Linked DNA regions of Schizosaccharomyces pombe. The main gene of each other region encodes a partner of the protein of the gene in region 3 in a complex. Each region holds a gene or a part of one and is shown on either strand. Other genes may lie near its edges. The genes, in order: rad4, hta2 and mdb1. A codon is read from its position in the direction of its gene.

The links.
Region 1: the proteins of mdb1 (region 3) and rad4 are in contact, whole or in part, in a crystal structure (PDB 6HM4), measured with the Schizosaccharomyces pombe proteins. Residues at the interface, in NP_593964.2 of Schizosaccharomyces pombe: Gly106 (codon at 4,070), Val107 (codon at 4,067), Met108 (codon at 4,064), Thr109 (codon at 4,061), Val110 (codon at 4,002), Pro111 (codon at 3,999), Asn112 (codon at 3,996), Thr113 (codon at 3,993); in NP_593190.1 of Schizosaccharomyces pombe: Leu109 (codon at 6,799), Thr110 (codon at 6,796), Asn111 (codon at 6,793), Arg117 (codon at 6,775), Pro133 (codon at 6,727), Asp134 (codon at 6,724), Leu135 (codon at 6,721), Thr136 (codon at 6,718), Arg137 (codon at 6,715), Arg150 (codon at 6,676), Lys151 (codon at 6,673), Tyr154 (codon at 6,664), Trp158 (codon at 6,652).
Region 2: the proteins of mdb1 (region 3) and hta2 are in contact, whole or in part, in a crystal structure (PDB 7P0L), measured with the Schizosaccharomyces pombe proteins. Residues at the interface, in NP_593964.2 of Schizosaccharomyces pombe: Thr391 (codon at 3,159), Ser392 (codon at 3,156), Ser393 (codon at 3,153), Arg430 (codon at 3,042), Arg431 (codon at 3,039), Thr432 (codon at 3,036), His433 (codon at 3,033), Lys434 (codon at 3,030), Leu436 (codon at 3,024), Met505 (codon at 2,817), Asp508 (codon at 2,808), Ser509 (codon at 2,805), Leu513 (codon at 2,793), Ala565 (codon at 2,585); in NP_594421.1 of Schizosaccharomyces pombe: Ser128 (codon at 4,438), Gln129 (codon at 4,435), Glu130 (codon at 4,432), Leu131 (codon at 4,429).

The regions. Positions count from the first base shown.
Region 1 is NC_003424.3:1,055,616-1,068,219, forward strand, and holds rad4 (BRCT domain protein Rad4), read right to left. Parts: upstream 7,298-12,604; 5' UTR 7,247-7,297; coding exon 7,181-7,246; intron 7,124-7,180; coding exon 7,016-7,123; intron 6,950-7,015; coding exon 5,177-6,949; 3' UTR 5,131-5,176; coding exon of another isoform or gene 5,094-5,130; 3' UTR 5,056-5,093; coding exon of another isoform or gene 4,528-5,055; 3' UTR 4,490-4,527; coding exon of another isoform or gene 4,223-4,489; 3' UTR 4,163-4,222; downstream 1-4,162. Other genes in the region: DNA-directed RNA polymerase subunit Rpb5, read left to right, coding at 1-27; autophagy-associated lipase Atg15, read right to left, coding at 526-1,800; trm402 (tRNA (cytosine-5-)-methyltransferase), read left to right, coding at 2,780-2,800, 2,850-2,899, 3,008-4,162, 4,223-4,489, 4,528-5,055, 5,094-5,130; DSIF transcription elongation factor complex subunit Spt5, read left to right, coding at 8,252-11,224; transcription coactivator Rqt4, read right to left, coding at 11,416-12,103, 12,158-12,604. UniProt on the Schizosaccharomyces pombe protein: Essential component for DNA replication and also the checkpoint control system which couples S and M phases. May directly or indirectly interact with chromatin proteins to form the complex required for the initiation and/or progression of DNA synthesis.
Region 2 is NC_003424.3:4,048,429-4,055,196, forward strand, and holds hta2 (histone H2A beta), read right to left. Parts: upstream 4,891-6,768; 5' UTR 4,820-4,890; coding exon 4,424-4,819; 3' UTR 4,018-4,423; downstream 1-4,017. Other genes in the region: chitin deacetylase Cda1, read left to right, coding at 1-675; dal1 (ureidoglycolate hydrolase), read left to right, coding at 1,191-1,766; mce1 (citrate transporter), read left to right, coding at 2,700-3,575; RNA-binding protein Rsd1, read right to left, coding at 5,382-5,640, 5,682-5,756, 5,806-6,126, 6,199-6,372, 6,420-6,557, 6,654-6,768. UniProt on the Schizosaccharomyces pombe protein: Core component of nucleosome which plays a central role in DNA double strand break (DSB) repair. Nucleosomes wrap and compact DNA into chromatin, limiting DNA accessibility to the cellular machineries which require DNA as a template.
Region 3 is NC_003424.3:2,880,782-2,886,991, forward strand, and holds mdb1 (BRCT domain protein Mdb1), read right to left. Parts: upstream 4,561-6,210; 5' UTR 4,440-4,560; coding exon 4,206-4,439; exon of another isoform or gene 4,152-4,205; coding exon 4,059-4,151; exon of another isoform or gene 4,003-4,058; coding exon 2,761-4,002; intron 2,709-2,760; coding exon 2,403-2,708; 3' UTR 2,012-2,402; downstream 1-2,011. Other genes in the region: SPOM_SPACUNK4.15 (2',3'-cyclic-nucleotide 3'-phosphodiesterase), read right to left, coding at 324-950; SPOM_SPACUNK4.13C (NTPase Ylf2), read left to right, coding at 4,561-4,745, 4,811-4,851, 4,943-5,940. UniProt on the Schizosaccharomyces pombe protein: Involved in DNA damage response (DDR) mediated through its interaction with phosphorylated H2A proteins hta1 and hta2 which mark the discrete foci of DNA damage.

The DNA.
Region 1 (12,604 bases), 1.8 Mb from region 3:
TATAATAGCTACAGAATTTGTGCATAATTTTAATTGGTACATGTGGGCTAGAAATATCGCTTCAAAACTACCATCTCTTTCTTTTTCTTAAAAAATTTCAATTTGAACATAATAATTTAAAATTCAAATCGAATAAAGCAATGTCTATAGCTATTACAATGAGCTTAAATTTTTGGATTAGATAGTTTTTAGAACAATACTTTATTAGTGATTTATTCAATAAAACATCAAGGGTTGGCATTCACGTTTACTTTTTATTACCAAAAGTAGATAGTTTATAGTCAGTACTGCTTTGTATCAATATTTCATTAAGTTATCATAGCACAAACGACTGTTTAAACCGAAGACTAAAGCATCTTCTTCTTGCTGGTACTTATTTTAAGCAAGCTAAAAATAAGTTTTATTATAGGTATACTAGAAAATAGGCATACTCGAATCTAATAAAGTGTGAAGGTTGAAAAGTTTGGCGTTCGTTAAAGTTTTAAGGACATTATCAGAAGTTGAAGCAAAGGACAGCCACTCCTTTCAACTATCATCATCAGGAAACTCCCACAAGTAACAATCAACACAATTCGGTGTGTGTGAGCAATCTGGTAATTTTTCGTATGCATCTATAACATCATTCAAAACAGTTTGCATACGATGGTGGGTAATAGAAAGATGCCACCCTTTGTCCTTTACAACATCATATAAACATTCCTGTCCTGTATGACAAGTTGATTCCATCGCATAACCTCCGGCCCAGCATAATGAAGTTGGACCTGTGCATTTGCCCAAATATATTGGATCAGCATTGTGACCAAAATGCCATACTAAACTTTCTTCGTCCGGTAATCCTGGAGGCATTGGAAGATGAAGACGTCGGGCAGCCATTCGATCACCAGGTGCTTCAAAAGTGACTGTTGGAATTCCAAAAGAAAGTCCCATTAAAGCGGCAGTAGCGCCACCTAATGAGTGTCCAGTCAGCCAAATCTGTGCATCAGGGTATAATTCTTTAACACTATAAAAAATATCCAATGATGCAGAATAATACCTTGAGTCATCTTGCACTTCATCCTCAAGGCAAGTTTGACTACAGGTGTATGTATTTTTATAGCAACCACAAACCGTAGACCAAGCCCAGCTGACACGAGCGCAACAACAGGAAAAAAGTAAATTGTCATTAACGCGATCCTTCTGCGAGGTACCGCGTCCGATTCCGAAGATGGACGTACCTTTCATCGCAATAATTATAGTGGAATTGTCATCATTGGAAAAAACATGTCCACGTAGACCATCTTCCTCCCAACCAAATCCTTCAGGTGGAGTTATATTCCAATCAGGTCCTAAATCTAACCAGTCCCCGTCGAAAGGAATTTTTTGGTAAGCATTGTAGCTCATCTTTCCAAGGGAGTAAATCGTTTCTTTATCAGTAATATCAGGAATCACGATTGCTTCCTGTTCCCATAAATCAGCTGGTGAATTCGCTTCAGAATAAATTCCTTTCATAGACTTATATCTATAATCAGTCAACGCATCGCGAGACTGATCCTTCAAGTGAACGGAATATCCTTTCTTCATTTTCAACGGCAATTTTGATTCACTCTCTGCGTAAACACTTTTCTTGGCCACATCTAGTCGATAATATGATATACTGTCCTCATTGAGTCCGTAATGAAATACATGCTGTAATTTGACATTAACCTTATCAGGCACATTTTCCGAAGATTTGATAACACTTTCAAATACTCCTGTACAACTAATCCTAATGATGAAACAAAAAAGGAAGAAAAAGCGCCTCAAGAATAGCAATTGAGACATTGCATGAATAGTTTGCTTTCCTTTTGTTTAAAAGAGCAACCGAAAAACGTTATGCGAATCTAATCCTCAATTCTAATAAATACAATGGGATAATTCAATGATTATGCTTTATCAGCTCATGTACATGCTTAACTCGTTTATGTTGCTCATAAATAGATGTTTTAAGTTACTTAACGCCTTTGGTAAGCAATAATTAATACATTACACTGCAGTAAGTTACGCATCATAGCGTGGTGTTGTATGCTGATAATGTCGCTATTTGATATAATATCTAGGTAATGGACACTGTAATTTGTGAATTTAGGATGAATGTATGGCATACAGGTTTTGTGACATGTTCTTCATAACGATACCGGAGCCTTAGACTATAATAATGCTATGATTGTAAGATTTATTTATATTGTTCCTAAATACGGCAATGTTCCTTCTCAGAAAAGACTTTGCAAATGTAACATGTTTTGCTATGGAGGACAAGGTATGAATTAATCATCCTTCGCTTTATAGTAGCACATTAGGTGCTTTTTATTCCCATGCTTAGCGGTAACCTATTTAATGGCAATAATGAACGCTTGAAATTTAACTATATTAGCAGTATGCGCAGCTCTTGTTGTTTCCCTAAAAGAATAAAGTCATATATGGATATATTCTCCTACATACGCATACTGATAACGATATCAACGTAAACATTTTTAAAGTCAGTTGGAAGAATTTAGATGTCCAATCTGAATTTTCTGTTTTTAAAGTCACCAAGACCTTCCAAATACAAATGCAAATCAGCAGTTTTGTTCAGCGTCAGAACCTTAGTTAGCATGATCTTTATCGTTATTTTAGCGATAAACATTTTTTCAAAGAAGTGCTAGGTCTCGTAAATAAAAAATAAAGACACATTGCATTGCAAAGTTTGCTTAACACTATTGAAGTTGAATTTTTATGTCTAGTAAACACTGAACTCTGGTTTGTGAGTAAATTATTGTTTGTAATGGGGAAAAGAAATAAAAAGGTATGATACTTTGTTAATCGGCCTTCTTTTTTTTTTTTAACAAAGATAGGTGACTCAGGGCAAAAGGGCTTACAATGACAAAAGTGAAATTGTCTTAGAGTAAGTGTACAAAGGTGCTTTTTTACGGGGTTTAAAGCTTTATTGGGATATTTTTAAGAAATACATTGAAAAGATCATTATTGTAGGAAATAGTCAGCTAACATGCAGAAATAAACAATTCGAAGGTTACTATAAAAAGCAAAATTTATTTCGAGGAAAGCCAAATGATGAGTTTGATAGCTTTATGGAATATATGAGAAAGCCCTTACCAACTACATTTCGTATTTGTGGATATCGTCACCATGCTTTTGAACTAAAAAACCATTTTGAAAAATACTACGTACCAAGCCTTAAAAATGTCGTCCATGAGGGTCAAACTATTCCACCTCCAACAGTGCTGCCTTGGTACCCAGATGGTCTTGCATATATTGTCGATGCGCAAAAAGATGTTATTCGAAAGAGCCCGCCTCTTAAACGACTTCAGCGGTTTCTTGTAAGTGAAAATGAAGCTGGAAACATTAATCGTCAAGAAGCGGTTAGCATGCTTCCTCCTCTATTCTTAGACGTTGAGCCACATCATGTAATTCTGGATATGTGTGCTGCTCCGGGATCTAAGACTGCGCAGCTTATTGAAGCTGTTTATAAAAAAGCCAATATCAAGGATGCTGCTCATGACAGCAAAAATCTCAAGAGTGTTGAAGGTCTTGTAATTGCTAATGACGCTGATCCCAAACGAGCCCAAATGCTTGTTCACCAAATCAATCGTTTAAATTCCCCGAATATTTTGGTTGTTAATCACGATGCATCGACAATGCCCAATATCTATGTCAAAGGTTCATCTCCTTCTGACGGCTTAAATGTAATTGAAGAAAAAAAAATTTTAAAGTTTGACCGTATTTTAGCCGACGTGCCTTGTTCAGGAGATGGCACTTTCCGCAAAAATTTGTCTCTTTGGAGGGAATGGAGTGCCAATAGCGCCTTTAGCCTTCACCCTTTGCAATTGAGAATTTTGATCAGAGGATTGCAACTTTTAAAAGTGGGTGGTTGTTTGGTTTACTCAACATGCTCCATTAATCCCATAGAAAATGAAGCTGTTGTAACAGCTGCATTGAAGGCTACTGGTGGTGCAGTTTCTCTTGTTGATGTGTCTAAAAAACTACCCCTACTTAAGCGTGATCCCGGTCTTTTATCTTGGAAGGTTTTGGATGATTCTCTTAACGAATTTCAATCACCTGCTGAGAACACCAATGATAAGATCGAGTTAACCGAATCCATGTGGCCTCTTCCTGAGGAGGAAATGAGCAAACTCCACATAGAAAGATGGTAGGTTTATTTGCCTGGATGAGAACTTTGAAACTTTATCATTTTCTAATCTCTTAATAGTGCCAGACTATATCCCCATATGCAGAATACTGGTGGTTTTTTTGTGGCCGTACTCCAAAAAACTGATCCTATTAATTCCCGTTCGTTTGATCCCAAAAAGTATACTGCTAGTATGGAAATTCTACCACCCGAGAACAAGAGACAAAGGACGGAAAAGGGTGTTGACGAAGCTTCTAATTCTACATTAACTAAATCTGGCAACAGTTATTTTGATGAAGAGCCCTTCGTATACATTAATCCTGATGATACTAGCATCAAAACTATTGTGTAAGTTATATTACCATGGCAGGCAAACTAACCCATAGTGATTTTTATGGTATCGATCCTAGTTTTCCCCGTGATCAATTTTTTGTTAGAAATCAAAGCGGTATTCCCGTTAGATCAATTTATTTTGCATGTTCTTTGTTCAAAGAAATTATTGAAGCCAACACGAATCGTGTGAAATTCGTGCACGGCGGTGTTAGATTCTTTGTAAAGCAGGAAATCAGTCAACTGTTGAAAGATTTCTCGCTAAAAGCTAACAAAGATATTTGCAATTTTCGTATTCATAGTAACGGTGTCAATATCATTAGCCCTTTCTTAAACGAGAAGCATTTTTACGATGCTGGGTTAAAAGATTTAAAAATTTTGGTTAAAAACGAGTACCCACATGTTGAGCAGTTTTCTGAGAGCGGAATGTTAAAAAAGGAATTTGAAAAAATGCCTCTAGGATGTAACATCCTTAGAGTGGATGCTCAAACAAAAGATGGTGCACTCATGGATATGTTAATATTACAGCCTATCTGGCGAAGCCCTACGAGCTGTAATTTAATGCTTGCTAGAAAAGAGAAGCAGTAAGTCACGTTTAATGTTTTTTGTTACTAACTTTAAGAAATCTTTCGTTGGAATTATTTGGAATGGACGTGTAAAAATAATTAAACTTGACATAAACTATACATATAAATAAACAATGTTTCAACGCCTACGGAGTTTTCGATGACTCTCGGTAATTAATAGAAGCCCATTTTCTTGATTTTGGAGATCATTAGCAGGCGGGATAGCATCTACATTAGAAGTCAACTGAGCATAAAGCTTATGTTTCTCACGTTGAGCGTCTGGATCTATATATGAAACATGCTCTTGTGGAGATGTCGGAGTTTCTGGTTTTGTAACTGATGACTTCCAAACAGTATCAATCTTGTCGCCCGGTACTGTCACGGATCTCCGAGGAAATATGGTTGAATCTTTTGAATTAGAATTTAGTTGAATCAATGTATTAGACCTAATATGGTTGTTTTGGCGCTTTTTAACCGATAATAAGGAAGGAGAATTATGAGGCGTAGAATGTCCTATTGGCTGCTGAGCAAGAGAATTTTGTAATCGTGTATCTCTATCAGACGTTGGAAATACCATATTATTTTGGTTTGTAAATTTTTTTATTTCTTGATTTTCTTTCTTATCGATAGCCCATGGAGAAACTTGATCAATGAATTTTCCGCTTTGAATGATGTTCCATAACCAAGCTACTCCGACGACTCTAACGTTCCATTCTGTAGCATGTTGTATTTTAAATCTAGTTTTCATACTGAAAGGTTCATTTGTGTTTACCAACAAAATACTTCGTTGGACCCCAAGAAATTCATGCACAACTGCTCCCAAGATGGTGAGAGCCTTCTTCAAATGCGAAAGTTCTTCCCCCTTAAATCCAGTAAGATGAATGCTAAGACCATTAAAATAAGGAACCAGAGATGGACGAAAAAAAGGTTTTGCTAAGGCATGTTCATCGATTCCAAAGATTTTTTTGTAATAAAGACACCTTTCTATCCACCACTCATTAACTGTAGGAAATGAGAAGATGGGCAATTCATCGACAGGGAAATAATGAGGTATAACGACAAAATCAATGGTAGAAGACAAAAATTCAGAAATCTGGCCTCCATTATCGCTCAAACATTTATGAAGCCTGGAGACCTTAGTGTTTGGAAACTCGTAAAGATAAAAAGTCAAATTTTTAAAAAGTTTAGCTTCGTTTTCGATGTTGAGTTCCGTATCTAATTCGTTTTCTTCTAAGGGTTGAACAGTTTCGGGAGTGAAATCATCCAGTAGTACTGAATTTTCTTCAGAACGGCTGGAAAATTCAAATTTTCCATTATTAAGTTCTTCCCATAAAATACTTCTATCTCTCTTCTTTCCCCGTTTCATAATCACGGGTTCTAAATCCGCTTCCTCCGCCAATGCAGCCAAGGATTGACCAGACTTTTCTTTATTCTTGCTTATTTTTTGGTTTTCAGAATAAGACTTTGCCTCCGTAGTATTGGGATCTAGACGAACATACGCGCCAAGTCCAATTTTTTCGGCTGGCATATCCAATTGGAAATACTGCGGCTCAAGGACAGCATTCCTTTGTATACTTTGCCATAACCATTCAACGCAAACTACGTTGATTTTCCACTTTAATGCATATTCATATTTGCGACCCGATGAGGTGCCAGCTATTAAATGAGTTACGTCTCTAGTTAAGTCAGGGCAAAATGTACCACCATGCTTAAGCACATAATTTTCAATACGAGATCTCTCTGGTTGGCCAATGTTGGTAAGACAAACCCGGCATTTAAATAGAGTTGGTAGAAAGTGTTTATCGACGAGCAGGCCATCATCCAGATCTTCTCCCTGTACCCAGCTTTCATAAAGAACAGGTATCCATTCACTAGACATAATCTTTATGTCTGGTCTGGATTTTGCGGCAAACTATTGAAAAGAATGTCAGCATTTACTCTTGAAGGATAGTGTAATTTGTAAGATTTTACGACATACCTTGTATTTTGGAGTATCAAAATCGCCGGCTATAAGATGCGTGACATCCTTAGTAAAGTCTGATCTATAGGCAGCACCAAGTTTAGTTGCTTTTGTAGATATCTCGGTCTGTCAAGTTAGTAACACAAATAACAAAAAATGCGATTCGTCGTGCAAAAATCTTACCCTTTGCTTTAAATCGATACTGGTACAACATATCACGAAGCCTTTGAGTGGTTTAGAAGAACCCATTCTTTCACTACCGACATTTATGAGTTCTAGGTGAGTAGGTATAGGTAATTTACGAGTACAAACGCGTCCATCACCACTACATATTATTGTGAGGAAATGCAAAAATTGGTAATGTTTAAAAGGGAAAATAAAGAATGTTTAGAGAAAATCGACTTTCGAAGGTTAAGAGTAGATTGAAGCTAAAACCAAGTTGTTATATGCTACCGTGGTGGGTGCGAAGATTGACAAATGGAGAGTCATAAAAGGCCAAAATTAAATTTTAAGCATTTATTCGAAAAACTCGACTGTATTGGCAATGTACACGATGCTGTATAGCTGAGTAGCATCATTGGTTTGGGGGAAATTATGAACAAGCACCAAGAGCTGGCTATTATATTATTCCTCATTTAACCTGTATCATAATTATAAGATTTATTGAGTAAGAAGATAGTATATGGACACCACCTTTGTCCTATATTCTCTCGGTAAAAAATATCCTCTTATCCAGTTTAATATTTATATTGGATTTTAGTAACGCAAAGGGATATTGCCCTAAAGGGTTCATAGTTATATGGAATATAACATAATATTACAATTTAAATGTAAGATGAATTTATTGATAATCTGAGCATCCCATTATCTTTAATTTCAATTAAACCAAGTCTAACTTTAAGATTGTGTATGGCATTTCGTGTATACAAGTTTGTTTACCAGCAGTGGCAATTGCTCAAGCTTACCATTAAAGCAAATACTTTTAAAGCAAAAGTTTGATTTTACAAAAAAACCGTAAGTATTCCATTCTAAATTGCTTCTTTCGTATATCTATACTCTTGTCGCTGCAAGCCATACAAGACCTACTTGCTTGGTAAAATAGGGCAGCAGTACGTACTGTAAGTCACCTTTAACAAAACACCACTTGTTGAATAAAAAGTTCATTAATCGGCGAACCTATCGCCTATATTAGATTAAAGGTCTAAAAACAAAGCATTGAGGGAATAGGTACTATTTCCTCTTTTTTAAGTCACAATGGATACGAATTCTCCGAAATCTATTGATAAAGATGCAAATTCGACTGAGGTAGATGCAGCTGAGCAAGATGCTGCTTCAGTTAAAATCAATTCTACCCGTGCATCCCCCAATGGAAGTGACTTGCTGAATGATGATTCTGAAGCTGCTAAAATTACTACAAATGAAAAACAGAGTTCTCCCGTGGATTCCCATAACGAAAGTCCAAATGATACCACAATTAATAAAGGCGAAGATGGGAATGAAAACGAAGTCGATAATGTAAATAACAATGACAAAAAAGAAGATGAGGATAATGTTGAAGAAAACGAGGAAGAAGCTGATGCAAACGAAGAGGAAGAAGAGGATGAAGAAGATGATGAGGAAGACGAGGAAGATGAAGATGAATCAGGTGGCGGTAGAAGAAAAAGGGCTCGCCATGACCGCCGCAACCAATTCCTTGATATTGAAGCAGAAGTAGATGAGGACGAGGAAGAGCTTGAAGATGAGGAAGATGAAATTGGTCGTGAAGATGGTTTCATTGAAGAAGAAGTTGGAGCGGATTACGTCGGTGATGATCGTCGCCATCGTGAACTTGACCGTCAAAGACAGGAACTACAATCTGTTGATGCTGAACGCCTTGCTGAGGAGTATCGTGAAAAGTATGGTCGTAGCCAAACTGTTGTTGGAGATACAAGCAATGTTCCCCAACGTCTTCTACTTCCTTCAGTGAATGATCCCAATATTTGGGCTGTTCGCTGTAAAATTGGCAAAGAAAAGGATATTGTTTTTACCATAATGCGGAAAGCTATGGATTTGCAATATACTAGCTCTCCATTAGAAATCATTTCAGCATTTCAACGTGACTCGCTGGTCGGTTATATATACGTTGAAGCTCGAAAGCAATCACATGTTCTAGATGCACTTAATGGGGTTTTAAATGTTTATACAAATAACATGATTTTAGTTCCAATTAAGGAAATGCCGGATTTACTCAAAGTTCAAAAACAGGTTGTTGAACTGTTGCCTGGTGCATATGTGCGTATACGCCGTGGAAAGTACGCCGGTGATCTCGCTCAGGTTGACAACCTTTCAGAAAATGGTTTAACCGCACGTGTACGTATAGTTCCTCGTATTGATTATTCCGATGGGTTGAAACGAAAGAATTCTGCCACTCGTCCTCAAGCAAGACTCTTTAATGAAAGCGAAGCATTTAAAAGCAATCCTTCTAAGTTTTCTAAACGTGGTCCTAGACTTTTCCTCTTCAACAATGAAGAGTTCGAAGATGGATTTTTGGTAAAGGACATTCGTATTTCCTCACTGATAACTGAAGGAGTTAATCCTACACTTGACGAGGTATCCAAATTCAATCCTAATAATGAGGATTTGGATCTCAGCTCTTTGGCTCTCAGCGTCAAAGGGGGCCATGCTGAATTTCAGCCTGGAGATCATGTCGAGGTATATGTTGGTGAGCAGACTGGAGTAAGTGGTGTTGTTGAAAATGTTCGAGGTAGCGTTATTACCATGGTATCCTCTGATGGTTTACGGTTAGATGTACCATCTCGGGGCCTGAGGAAAAGGTTTAGACATGGTGATTATGTAAAAGTTATAGCAGGAAAGTACAAGGATGACACCGGTATGGTTGTCCGCATTTCAAAGGACGAAGTTACTTTTTTGAGTGATACTCTTATGACTGAGTTGACTGTATTTTCTCGTGATTTAGGCGAAGCTAGTTCTGCACAAGCTGTTAACTCTGCATATGAATTACATGATTTAGTGCAGCTGGATGTTAACACGGTTGCCTGCATTTTTTCTGTCGATCGTGATACGTACAAAGTTATTGATCAGAATGGAGGGGTTAGAACGGTTCTTGCTTCTCAAATTACCATGCGCCATTCCAATCGCCGAGGTGTGGCTACAGATAGAAATGGGGCTGAAATTCGGATTGGCGACAAAGTAAAAGAGGTTGGAGGAGAGGGAAAGCAGGGAACGATCTTGCACATATACAGAGCTTTTGTTTTCTTGCATAACAGAGATATCGCAGAGAATAATGGTGTATTTTCCGCTCGCAGTCGTAACGTAGCAACAATTGCGGCAAAGGGTGCCCGTATTTCAGCAGATTTGACGAAAATGAATCCAGCTTTATCCAATGGGCCGGCTTTGCCTCCGGTTGCTAACTTGAAAAGAACGATTGGACGTGACAAAGCTATTGGCGCTACTGTACGCATCCGCAGAGGTCCTATGAAAGGATTACTTGGCGTTATTAAGGATACTACTGATGCAAATGCACGTGTTGAGTTACATACGGGAAACAAAATGGTTACAATTCCTAAAGAAAACCTGCTATATACTACTAAGACTGGTGAATTGATTAGCTATACCGAATTTATTGAGCGTTCTAGAGGAATAAGACCTGGTAGTATCAGCACCGCTGATGGACCAAATGTACCAAACTGGGCCCAAGGAGCCCGTACGCCTGCTGTTGCAAATGGTTCACGCACTCCAGCTTGGAATACTGGAAGTCGCACACCTGCGTGGAATTCTGGTTCAAAGACACCTGCGTGGAATTCTGGAAGTCGCACCCCAGCGTGGAACTCTGGGAATAAAACTCCTGCTTGGAATGCTGGCAGTAGAACACCTGCTTGGAATTCCGGAAATAAAACTCCTGCATGGAATGTTGGCAACAAAACCCCTGCTTGGAATAGTGGTGCTAAAACGCCTGCATGGAATGCTGGTAATAAAACTCCGTCCTGGAACAATGGTACTAAGACTCCAGCTTGGAATGCTAATCAGACACCTATGGTTGCTAATGGCACTAACACCTCATGGGGACAAACCCCTGCATACGGGGGATTCAGTGAAACTAACTGGGATACCGAAGATAATTCAAAGCCCTATACTGCTCCTACACCTGGTGCGTGGGCTGCTCCCACACCAGGTGGTTGGGATGATGAAGAAGGAGATTCACCCAAATATGTACCTCCTTCTCCTTAATTTAAAATCAAATTTTTGAAAATATCGACAGATAGTTTTGTTAAAATTGTTAAGACATATTCTAATTAACGTAATCTTGTTAATAATATTAAAATGATACGCACTTTACCAAAATGCATATATGTATATTTAAAAAAACTGAATCTCATAAAAGCATACATTAAATATTTGTAACTTTAACATAAACATACTTATAACATCGATGGCATGCCATCATCATCCTGAACTTTAGACCACTTCTGATTTATTTTATTAAGAATAGATTCAGGCACGGCGACATGACTAGAGTGTAGGTCTTGATGGTAAATAGGCCTAGGCAAATTTCTAATAACAGGAGCCTTCGGGTTATGACTATGAGATTGGCCCTCAACTTTAGTTAAATTGTCAAGTTCATCCTGATCTTCATCAGAACTTTCAGAAGATGCTTCCTTTTGATCGACTACAACTTTTTTTCCTGAAAGACTAATCGACAATACCTTCTTTTTTTTCTTTTCCTTTTTAGCCATGGCCTTTTGCATTCTAACAAGATTTAAAGCTTTCTCAGCTGGAGATGCCCAAGTATCAGAAGCTAGCGAAGTAGGATCAAAATCAGCAGCTTCGTCGATAATACGAGTTCGTTGAGCAGAGGTTCTATCAAAATTTAATAAGACATTTTTTCTTTCTTCAGCCTCCTGAGCTTTTTGCTCTAGTTGTTTAGGATCGAGAAAAATTGAATGCAAGGAGGAATTTTGCAACCTTTGAAAATTATTTTTACTAGAAACGGTTTTGCTTTTTCGTTTTTGATTGGCAGCTTGCTTTAAGCGGCTTCCCTCATGCTTCAACTCTTGAATTAATTCCAACTGTTGAGCTTTGCTAATGACAGGATTATCACAAAAGGTGCTAATTAAGATTAGTAAAAACTTGTTAATAAGATATAGTAGTAATATTACTTACCAAGGCCCAATCCCCTCAACAATGCAAATTATTTTTCCACAATTCAAACAATTGGGAGCCGCCTCATTAAGCGGATGCTTACGTCCTTGACAATTGCAGACTCTTCTTTCTGCTTTATTTATATTTTGAGATATCTCTATTTGACGTATAGCTTTTTCGATGTCGGCGAGACCTTCAATTCTGTTAGAAGAAGAGTTATTATGTTTTACACTTTTCTTTTCCGGAATAAGGTCAGAAGTCATTACGCCTGGAGAGACATTTTTCGTAGTTTTGCTAGATTTTTCATGTGATGAAATATTGTTTGATTGTGATTTATTCCTCGAAGCAGGATTGACTTTATACATTTCTTCATCATATCCTTTTTGCTTATTGTTAGCGATATAGAAACTTGGATGAGAAGATGTGGCAGTATTTTTTTGCCGAATATTATTATTTGGTGTCACATTC
Region 2 (6,768 bases), 1.2 Mb from region 3:
TTTACTTGCTGGGCTATTGGTCAAGCTGTTGAGAAAAACCCAGTAGTTGTTGGTGCTATGGAGGAAGCAGGATGCGAAGTTGGATCCCATTCTCATAGATGGATTAATTATGAAGGAGTTCCTCCCGAAACTGAATATGAGCATATTAAAAAGAGTGTGCAAGCTATCCAAAAGGCCTCTCCTTCGAATTCTGCTCCTCGTAGTTGGTATACGGGTCGTGCTAGCTTAAACACCCGTAAACTTGTATGTCAGGTTTATAAGGATTTGGGTCTTCCTCAACCTTTTGACTCTGATGAGTACAATGACGATTACCCTTATTGGGTTGCCGATCCACTTGCTAGCAAGCCTGGTGCTGAAGATGACAAAGGACTCTTAATAGTCCCCTATACTTTGGAGGTTAATGACATGAAATATGCAGTTGCTCCCGGTTTTTGCAATTCTGATGACTTTTACACTTATGCTCGGGATGCCTTTGACGTTTTATATGAAGAGGGGCTGGAAGGTGCTCCTAAAATGATGACAATCGGATTACATTGCCGTTTAACTGGCCGACCTGGACGTTTCCGTGGCCTTCAAAAGCTAATGGAGCATATCACCTCAAAGGAGGGTGTTTGGGTTGCAACCAGAGAGCAAATTGCACAAGCTTGGTCTGCTAAGCATCCTTACAAAGCGTAGAAACCGTGTTACTAAAATGTTAATATACACATAGTATAGCGGTTTTATTCTTAGCAATGTATAGTGGTTGAAATATAACGTTTCCATAGTTAATTTAATTCAAATGCGACAATAGTTGATCGTCTGACACACGATATTTTGAAACCCTTTAACCTAACACATATTGATTGTCTATTTCTTAAAGAGAAAATCATGTTGAAACCCGTTAACGTATTTTTTCTATTAGACGAAAAAGTCACCAAAACATATTTCAATACACTCCGTAATTTCGGTTTCATCATTGCTACTATCATCGATAAGATTCTTTCCTTAGTCATTGGATATTAATGCTGTACATAAACATCTAACTATACCACTGAAATATTGTTTTCTTACTCTTAGCACTTTACTAAGCATCGACAACTTCAAAAGATAATAGTGATTTTACAGTGCATTTGCAAAACGACTAGTTAAAAGTGGTTATTGTAATCGTTCAAGAATTTACGTTTCAACTTTTAAAAAATTTTATAACAAACATGGAAGCTAAAAAAATATATGCTCAAGCCTTGACCGATGAAGCGTTTGCTCCGTTTGGGTCGGTGGTTCAACAAAAGGATGATGTTAAAATGGTTAGTGCTAATGGAGGTACAGCAAAAAAGTATTTAAAAGTTTCAGAAAGTATACAAAACTATGAAAAATCATCCAGTGCTTCGACCAGGAAAGGCGTGTGGAATTTTTTTTCCACACATCCTTCAGTTCACCCGGCTAATGACGAGCACGCAGCCTTTCAAATATCTGTGCTTGAAAGACATCCATTTACAACTCAAACCTTTATACCGATGTGTCGCTCAAGCGATGAGCAGGCCTATCTAATTGCTGTTGCTCCAAACGCTCCAGATGGAATGCCTGACTGGAACCAAACTCAGGCTTTTGTGGCTAAAGGAGCTCAGGGAGTTACTTATTCCGCTGGGGTATGGCATGCACCAATGGTAACAATCGGGAAAGAAACTATGCTGGCGGCTTTTAACTACGAAAACGGAGTGGCAGAAGATGATTGCCAAGTTCAGTCTACCGAGTCCCCCATTGAAGTATTCATAAAAATTTCTACATAAGTTTGTTAGTTTTTAATTTATTATGTTAATGTTGACAATGATTTTGTTCTATGCCATTACAGAGAAGTCGAATAGGCACTAGTGATTCATTTATTATGATATCCAATTTGCATGAATGTAACAGAGGACGGCTAAATATGTTTACGTATATAGTAAATCTTACCATAAGCATATATAACAAATATGACTGAAGATACCATGTGGAAAGCGCCCTAATAGAGACAAAACATCTAGTCTTTTGATACACTGCAATTGTATCGAAGTTGAGTGAAGGATTCTACAATAAGTTTTTTGATCCAAAGTTTTAATAAGTTTTATTTGTTTATATTTACTATACGAAGCTTAACATTCGTTTATGAACTGGTTGAGATGATTGATTTGCCTAAATAGCAAAACTTGAAAATGAATTGAAAGGAATTATTTTAAAACTTAAATTAGTTTGTCTCACATTAATTTATCTCAATCGCTCTCCTAATCACCATGATGATGATAAACTACTTCAACATGTAATAAGCATTACAATCTATCATTCCGGTTAGGTTTGAAGCCTAACAACATATTTTACAAATGAAAACTAAAGAATATTGAAACAATTCAAATTATATGATAGTACAACAAAGTGGTAATAAAGGTATAGTCGCACAGGAAGAAGAAGTATTACTTCGTAAATTTTTCACCATCTATTTACCCACAACATACTTCGATTTTCGGTTGCTTGGTCGGTTTTACTGCCAAATCAAAGCTTGAAAAGGTACCCTCTTTTGATTAAATAATTAAAAGGTTTAGTCAAATAGGTTGTCAGTGTATTGTGCTAATCTTGAACCCATCTTTTTGAAAGCATTCGTTAGATAACTTTTTGTACTCATAACAACTCTCCCAAAAATAATTTGTTTCAAGTTCTCTTTTTTGTTTATATTTCACTTTTAATTGATAATGTCGACTGTTGCAAAAACCAACCCAAAAAGTTCCAACAAACCTGGACCCGTAAAAAGCATTATAGCTGGCGGTGTTGCTGGAGCTATTGAGATTTCCATTACCTATCCGGCTGAATTTGCCAAAACTCGTCTTCAATTATATCGTAACGTTGAAGGCACTAAAGCGAAATTACCACCTTTTGGACTAGAATGGTATCGTGGTTGTTCCACAGTAATCGTCGGAAATTCCCTTAAAGCTGCAGTACGATTTTTTGCATTCGATAGCATTAAAAAGTCTCTTTCAGATGAACACGGACATTTGACTGGTCCTCGTACTGTCCTCGCCGGGTTGGGCGCTGGTGTCGCCGAGTCAGTTTTGGTACTAACTCCTTTTGAGAGTATCAAAACGGCGATCATCGATGATCGCAAGCGTCCAAATCCCCGTTTAAAGGGCTTTTTACAAGCCTCAAGAATTATTGTCCATGAGAATGGTATTCGTGGGCTTTATCGTGGTCTCGCTGCAACTGTCGCTCGTCAAGCTGCTAATTCTGGTGTACGTTTTACTGCCTATAATAGTATCAAGCAATCCCTTCAAAGCAGATTACCACCAGATGAGAAGTTGAGTACCGTTACCACTTTCTTAGTCGGTTCTGTAGCTGGTATTATTACCGTTTATTGTACGCAACCCATCGATACTGTCAAGAGTCGTATGCAATCTTTGAGTGCTAGTAAGGAATACAAAAACAGTATTCATTGCGCTTATAAGATTTTAACTCAAGATGGTCTGTTGCGTTTCTGGTCTGGTGCTACTCCCCGTTTGGCTCGTTTGATTCTCAGTGGTGGTATTGTATTCACTGTTTACGAAAAAGTTATGGAAATTCTCAAGCCTTTTTAAATATCCTCGTAAGCAGTGGAATATGGATTTATCCTTGGTTATATATAATTATTGCTTCATTAAAGCAATCACTTCACTGGTTTTGTTCTTTTTTCACATTATCTTCTTTTTATTATTTTATTCTTTCTTTGGTGCTTTATAGATAGTTAGATTATTAAAAATATAACCCCCTAGAGTTTTGAAATGTTTTGTGCTTTGGAAGTATTCATGTTTTGCATGTTTTGAATTGCAACTTCCTAAATGCCCCTGTTACTACTACCATAATTAAATTATACCAATAATAAATCACCAAACTCATTCAAATCCATATATCTGGGTTGATGTTTAGGCACCTAGACAATACGCAGTGTAATTACATGCTACAAGCACCTCAAAAAGTTTAGCGAATATTGAACCAATAGTTCTTTCATTAAAATAAACCTATAATAAACAAATTATGCCTATACAAAGGAAGCTGAAAAAGGAAATGTATAATAAAGGGAAGAGGAAAACACGGAAAGTTCATCAAACGAGAAAAGAAAGCGTCAATCAACCATCAGGAAACCTAACAATCATTCAAACTCGAATAATGTACTGTACAAACAACTAAGCTTGAAACAGAGTATGTAACCAAATAAAAACGTAAGAATTATGAGTCATATGAAAAAGTTTCTCAACCGAATAATGCACTTGTTTCTGTATCACTGATATAATGATAAAACTAAATTTCTGATAGAGAAATTGCGTAAAAAAAGGTGTGAACGAATTAAGTCACGAAACCAACAGTTCAAGCAATTAGTGTGGTATAATAATAGTTAAGTATAAACGACAAATAATCTTAATATACAATTTATCATTCATTTAAGAGTTTAAAGCTCTTGGCTAGGCTTGCCCTTACCAGATTGTTTGGGCAAGAGATGAGCGTTGATATTAGGTACAACACCACCCTGGGCAATAGTAACATGACCAAGTAGTTTGTTCAATTCTTCGTCATTGCGAATAGCCAATTGAAGATGACGGGGAATGATACGAGTCTTCTTGTTATCACGAGCAGCATTACCGGCCAATTCGAGGATTTCGGCAGCTAAATACTCCAAGACGGCAGCCAAGTAAACGGGAGCACCAGCACCAACACGTTGAGCATAATTACCCTTACGCAACAAACGATGAACACGACCGACAGGGAAGGCCAAACCAGCCTTAGCGGAACGAGATTGAGCAGACTTGGCGACTGCGGCCTTACCACCAGATTTACCTCCAGACATGCTTGATAAAGAAATTACTTAAGTTTTAAATTGGAATAATGTATGCAGGATTGCTCAATTGCCCAATATTTAGAGAAGAAGAAGATGATGCAGCGACAAGCTCTTTTATATACAGCAATATACAGGGTTAGGGTTTTGATGGATGTTTATGGGCATTCATCACTGAATGATAGCAGACTCGTTTCAGTGATATTATACTCAGCATTTGGAACGCACAACGAATTTCGTTAAGTATATTTAGGGAATATATAAAAGACACAGTAACTATGATTAGAACGATTGTATACTACCTTATAATATATGATCCTGCAAATTCGTCGAATGTATTTAGTTAGACATAATTAAAATTCAATCAATATATGTACATATTTATGATTTTATTAAACTAAGTATACTCTTAATTTTACGGAAAAAGAAAAGTCTGCTACTAAATATCGACCATCGTAGTTTAAACTAAATATAACAGGACGTGCAAAAGTACAAAAAGCTTTGTTTTAAAAGAACTTTCTGAGAAAAGGTAAAACACATCAATTCCAGAGCAAAGTTTAGTAGAGAGCGACGTTTAAGCAGTTTTGGCATTAGGGAATTTGAAGTAGTAATCCGTTTCCGGTAAAATGGATGCCTTTATTGTACGCCCTCCGAACCAACGTTGATGGAGTCCAGTGATTGCCTTTTCAGCAAAATCGGCATTTTCAAATTTTACAAATATCTGCCCCAATTCATTCGGTACAACAGCAATGTGAACTACTTTGCCGTACTTTTCATCACACTCTTCTTTGACGTCCTGCTCCAATTCTTGCACCCAATTAGGTGATGTTTCCCTTTAAAGGTTAGTCAATTATGAATCATAAAAAAAACGTACTCAGCAGGATTAAACATGTTTTCTAATAATGCACATCTACTACGAATTGGAGGCTCTGGTTCAGATACCAGTTTACTGCTTTATGTTAGAAGACAAAAAGGATCCAAGTTAAAACAAGACATACCTGTTGTCTGAAATGTCTTCAGAGCGTGCTAACTTTTTCATTAGCTCATCTCTTGTAATGGGACGGCTTTCTTCTTCAGTAGGAGATAAAGGAGCTGCTTCTCGATAGTCTTGTGATTCGTAGGTTGATGAACCGCCATTACGTTGAGAAGGTTGACTACGTTCTTGGCGAGCCAACGTTTCGTCAAAGCGCTTCAGCATGGAACTAGTTGTTTCTGTAGTAAATTTATCATTGCCCAAACAAACCCTCATATTTCTTCCGGCTAAATCAAAGCCATTCATTTTCTCCAAAGCATTTCTCGCACTTATAGGATTTCGATATCTAAAAAATATAATGTTAGTGTCGTTGAAGTTAAATAGATATAAATATCAATCTAATTTTTTGAAAACATACTGTATATAACCAAAACCCTTGCTTCGGTTTTGATCATCACGCTGAAGGTGTACAAATTCTATGTCGCCAAAAGGTTCGAAAATTGCCTTAACATCTTCATCAGTAAGGTTGAAGTGAATGTTTGAGACACACAATCTGTGAAATGGAATTTCAGCGCTAGCGGCTCGTGCCAATCTACAAATAAGTTAGACAAAAATAATGGATGCTTAGTAAAAACTTACTCAGCAGCTTCACGAGCTTTTCTATTTTTTTCAGCCTCTGTAAGTTGTACAATGACAGGAAGACCCAACAATCGCTTACCAGAAAGCGCAATAGCCGCCTGTACAGAATCCTCGTGACAGAACTCCACATATGCAACACTATATTATATTCGTTAGCAAACGAACCCAATTTGAAAAATAAAAAAAAACAGAATAATATCTATTTAAAAAAAAAAAAAAAATTATAAGACATACCCTTTCGATCGTCCGCTAATCTTGTCTCGAACAATTTGAGCATCGCGAACAGGACCAGCTTGTTCGAAAAAATCATATAATTCCCTAGAAGTCAAACGATTTGCGAGTTGAGAAA
Region 3 (6,210 bases):
TTAGTCAAAGTTTAAAAGTAAAGCAGGAAAGGTGATCACCAGATGCATTTAAGTTAGTGAAAAAGATACTATAAAGGTAGAAATTGTTAATACATGAAGCAAAAAAAATTAAGGGTTTGAATAATCCATTTAAGCGAGATTGTTTTCACCTTAATAAAACCATTAAGGGATAAAAATAAATAAAGTTACAAAAAGGCTTTTTAAATCTTCATTAAAATACTAAAGCGAAATAACTAGGTATCATCCTGCTATATCTCTTTTTGTTTAGGTATATTTGCAAAGTATCAATAAGAAAAAAAAAAAAAAGATTGGAAAGCAAATGATTAGACGGTAAATTCAATACGATCACAGACGTATCCTTGATGGTTGGCCTTGTTTAATTGAATGAGTTCAAGAAAACAGGCCTTTCCCCAACTGGCTTGACCGATTGAAGAAATCGTCTCAATGGGGTCGGAAGTAGAGTAGTCAGAGCAAATACTCTTTGCATAAATGACAGGCATATAGGGATGTTCGATGACATTAAAAGGATCAGAAGTATCGGCCAAGTCATAAGCAGCATTTTGCAATTCTTCCAAGCCGGGAGTTTTCTCTACCTGAATATATACACGTTTGTAGAAGGAATCCCCAATAGCGACTTTGCCGAACTTTATGTTCAAAGGAGACTTGCGCTTGGAAGCGATATATTGCAAAACACTCTTAAACGATTGATTTGGTTTCAGCTTGATACCACGAGCTAAAGTAATGTGAGGAGCGGTAGGTAACTGCATTTCTTCAAAGTCGACTTTGTGACACACAGCCCAGTCGACAAACGTTCGATATCTCAACTCAATATCAGAGGAAATGGCAGGTACGAGCCAAACACAATAACAATGGTCTTCGGAAGAAACTTCAGCAAAACCATGACTTGTAGTCCTATCGGTCAAAGGCTGGGTCCTGAAAAATTGGGGCATGATGAAGGAGAAAGCTAGATTTCCTAATTACAAGGGGCTGGAAAAAATAAAGAGTAAAAAAAATTTAAAAGGTTGTCAGCAGTGAAAATTGTATGCAACGCTATAATGGTGTTGAAAAGAGGAAAAATAAATATAAAATACGTATAAATCCTTCGCCAATTTATTTCAACAAATATGTAGTCAATATTTTGCGTATTTTTTTTAATACCACACTATTCTTCTTTATTAGTAAATGAAACTCCAAAAAAAATTTTCACATACAGTTAAATTTCTGTTTCAAGAGTAAAACCGATATTTCCTTGTTCGCTTCGAAACCTGTCAATGCGCTTTTTTCGATTGCAAGGACAGAACACTAAAAAATATAAAATACACTCAAGCAAAGAATGTATTTAACACTTGATTTATTTTCCAAATTGCTTGTATAAGAAATAGAACTTGATTAATATTGTTGAACAGTGAGTTGGTTCGTTGGTCTGCTTATAACAGCTGGTGCTTTCACCACACTATGATGTCATCGTAGCGATGCGATAAATAGAAACAGCACACAGGTCACTTTCTCGTCCGAGGTTTAGCGCTCATTTGGCCGTGTGCGGAAGCATGTGCGGGTCTCTAAATTCACGCTTTATAAATGGTAAGATGGCGCAAAAAACTGTGTATTCCATTTAACAGCATATTTGGGTAAACCTATAAGTGCCTGATATACATATTGCGCATTTTATGAATAAATTTTATACAGTGAAGTGCAATGCATTGCAGAATCATTTGTTAGATATGCGGTATGCTTGATCTGATATGACGAGTGGATTTGCTGTGTTTTGTAGTCAATAAACAAACAACTAAACCTTTTCAAAAAATAAAATAAAATTGCAAGACTAAAAAGAAGCACTATAATGAGGCCCCTTTATTTTTATGTTTCGGAATTACCTCCTTTTACTTCCTCTTAAAACCGCAAATAAGTATATGCGTTTTTCTACTCATAAAGATTTTTACCTTTTATATCTTTTAATCGTGTAGAAATTTGTTATTTATTTTTATTAACCTTTTGTACTTCATTTCATATCATTTTATTTATTTCTTTATTTGTTTTTTTAATTGAGATGTAATAATTATAAATTTCGGGAATTGGTCAAACTATTTTTTTTCATACATTATCTGGAAAATAGAAAAAAAAGCGTATTGAAATCGATTCATTTATGTTGAGTATCTTGAATTTATTGGTTCAAGATTTTAACAATCAACTAACAGATCGCATATTTCATTAAATAACCGTGTAGGTTTTTTATCCTTCGCCCTTAAATACGCTCGTTTATTTAATATCATTATTAAAATTCTATTTTTGTATAATTTCTAATGGTCCTCCTTCATAGAAGAAACTCAAGAATATATGTTTGCAAATATACTTCTATAAATAAATAATAGACAAAGTAAACGATGTCCTCTTTACCTTTAATTTTATGTTCTTTGCTCCTTTGCACTTGGTTTGTTCCAAGATGAACGAGAGGATCGTTTTCTTCCTTGCCCGGTTCGGGATGCCTTTGAGACATTTCTTTTTCCAATTACTTTGGTGGGACTGTCAGCATCATAGTCAATCAAAAATTCATCAAAATCAATTCGATCACGCAAGATGGATAAAGCTACTAGTTCAATCTTGTACACATTTAAACCAGTAGCACTCATATTCCGTCCTTCTTGATCGTTGTCAGGTTGAGCAAGTATAATTGTGTCCTTCTCTTGAGCCCTTTTAATATCACCAACAATCTATTTAAATCATTAGCCTATCATAACTAGATATTCTCCATCTTTCACTTACCTCAGCTCCAGATGTTTCCAAAATTGAGTAAAGTCCGTGTATAGAATCCCCTACCATCGAATCTCGAATTGCCTTTGTAATGTATAGTCTTTTCCCATTGAAACACGTTCTTCTGTGGATATCGTCCAAACGAAATCCCCACTTGGCTTCTGCTTCCTCGTCTTTATATTTGTAGCTACGAAAATCTAAAACTTTACCTGATTTTATACAGTCTGTCAAGTATTGAGAAGAGACAAGTGGTATACCTAGAGAAGTCGCCAGTAAAAACTTATGTGTCCTCCGAAGTGGAGGTGAACCAAGGATGACAAAGTCGGTTTCGTCTGTGACACTTTCTTGCACCCTTAGACCATTTCTCCTTATAAAACTTTTCATCGGTTTAGTTAGGTTGAAACTCGACGTTACCAGATTTGTGTGCTTGTTTTTATTTTCAACTGCCGAGGACTGCACATTCTTGTCAGGTTGATCCTCTAAAGATGATGAGGGGAAAGAATAATTAGTGGAAATTGGTGCCTCTTCTGCTTCTCTGTTACTTTCATCCTGGGATGTGGATTCCTTCTCTTTGAGAGCGATTTCCGGCGCACTTCTTTTACTTTCTTCATTTTCGTTGGAGGGGGTTAAATCTGGCCTAACCTCTGGATTTACTTCATCACTGTGAATGCTATTGTTCTTTATAGAGCTGTCCGATATGTTTTGCTGTGGATTCACATCCTTCTCAATTGGTGAGTTTATTTCAGCACTTTGCTTTCTATCAAATACCTCTGCTGGCTTCAAGGATGGGTCTCCACTCAATGATTGCGAGACAGAAGAAGGAGATTTTGTTTCTCCTTGTATATAAATTTGGTGTGATTCAATAAATGTTGACTCATCGTCGGTCTTATTCAACTGTTTTTGATCTTCAGAAACAACCTCCTCTTCAGTGTCAGAACTATGGTCGCCTTCCACATGTTGACCGTCCAATACCAATTTTTCGTCCAAATCATTCTCAGAGTTTTCAACTTTAAGAACAGGCTCAGCGGCAGATTGCGATTCTGGAATTCTCTCAGAAAAGAGTTCCTTTTCCAATTCTAAAGCACTTTTTTCTGAAGCGAATCGCGAAAGGGGAATGACCTGGTCAGATCCTTGCCTAATTAAAGAATTGTAATTTTGTTCCAAGTTACTTGAATAATCAATTTGATCTTCATTCGCATTGATCGCTTCAAATTTTTGTTGCTGCAAATTTGGCTTCTGCGGGGTATTAGGGACCTTGGAAAATAGGTTAGTGTCTTTTTGACAATAGTATAATGAGGGAATGCACATACAGTCATAACTCCCATTTTGGATCCTTCATTCACGTTTGCATTATCCTCCTCTAATTTTGAAAAAATTACAGGAGTATCGTTGATTCTTACTCTCTAAAAAAGTATATAATTAGCTTACTCAATTAATCAATAGAAAAAAGATAATACCGTTTCGTCAAAAACATAATAAAGAAGCTTTTTGTCGCTAGCAGATGGAAGCACCGTTGTATCGGCTATTTTAACTATAGCTCGAATATTTCGAATAAAAAGTTGATGTTCTATATTTAAGAATTCAACAAGAACATCATCTGTTTCCATTTCCTTCAGATGGGAACCATCAGTAGCTAGAAAACCCCCAGAATTTACCATCCTACACCTCTGATTTCCAAACTGTATCTCCATTTTACAAATCCTGCTATTGATCGTATAAAAATTTCAAGGAGGAATTAACAATTAATGTTTTGGTTACTGCGTGAAAAAGCTTAGCAACAACTCTGTGATTAATTCATCGAATGGTTAAGAAATGCGTGGTATAGTTACAAGGATAGTGTTGTCAACGCAAAAGTGTCTACCTTCTGTAAATTGTACTAGGAGATACTATTCAAAACAAAAGGATATTTCTATTGTTCGGCAACGATTGGGACGACCTGGAAATCATTTGAAAATTGGCATTGTAGGAATGCCCAACATTGGGAAATCCACCTTATTGTACGTTTGTTCAAGGGTTTAACTGATAAATTTGCTTCATTGATCGGTATTAACAATAAATATAGTCAAATTCTTACAAAGACAAACCTGGGAAATCCTGCTAACTGTACGTTGTCATATTTTAGTCAAGTATTAGTTTTGATTATAAGTGATATAATATTTTGTATTTCTGTTGTCTAACAAAACAAATTTATAAGACCCTTTCGCTACAATCGATCCCGTTCATGCAAAAGCCCCTGTACTTGATTCACAGTATGAATTGCTTTGTGAAATTTATCAGCCTAAAACGCGTATCCCAGCGCAATTAACTATTTATGATACTGCAGGGTTGACAAGGAATTCAAGCAAGGGAGAAGGTCTTGGAAATGCGTTTCTTTCAAACATTAGATCCGTCGATGCTTTGTTTCAATTGGTACGTGCATTTCCAGAGGCTCAAGTTCCTCATGTTGAAAAGTCAGTTGATCCAGTAAGAGATCTACAAATAATACAGGAAGAGCTATTGTTAAAAGACGCAGAGTTTTTAGAATCATATTTAAAAAAGGAGGGCCGCTCGCCCAAAACATGTGCAAAAGCTCTTGATACGGCACGAAGAGCATTAGAAGTAGTATTAGGAAAAGGCCGTCAAATATCTAAAGCTGAATGGAATGACGAGCAGATTCCCATTTTAAATTCTTTAAACTTACTCACTGCCAAACCGGTGGTGTATCTGGTAAATATGGATCAAGACGATTATCTTTCCGATGAACAAGAAGCATTAAAAGGAATCAAAGAATGGGTTGAGAAAAATAGTTTTGGTGATCAAGTGATACCTCTCTCAGTTCTGTTTGAAGAACAGCTATTCATGCTTACGCCTGAAGAGGCGGCGCAGGAATGCGCTAGTTTGGGCAAAAATTCTCAATTATCAGAAATTATTTGTGCGGGATATTCTGCACTTAATTTGATACATTATTTCACAGCTAGTGAAAAAATCGTTCAAGCTTGGACTATTGCCGACGGCTCTAAGGCGCCTGACGCGGCCGGTATAATACATTCAGATTTCAAGAAGAAGTTCGTTGCAGGAGAAGTTATAAAGTTTTCTGATTTCGAAAAGTACAAATCAGTAGATGCTTGTAAAAGCGTAGGAAAGTGCAAAACGAAAGGGAAAGATTATACTGTCGAACCCGGGGATATTATTTTCTGGAAAATTGCTCGTTAGTGATAATCTAAATTAAATTAAATTAATTATAGTAAGATTTCATTAATACCGTTTTCATAATGTTTCTTTTCAAGTGTTTATTAGTTATTTGTTTACAAAACTTTATACTTGTAGGATAGCTTTAATTACATTAAATTATTTAGTGCATCGGTGTATTTTGTTAAATTGGCCTCTAAACAGTAATGCCTACGTACTGTGTGTATGTAAACACATAATTCAACCTATTGCCATATTTCTTACATATTACCCTTTTTTTGGGTGTAATAGCAG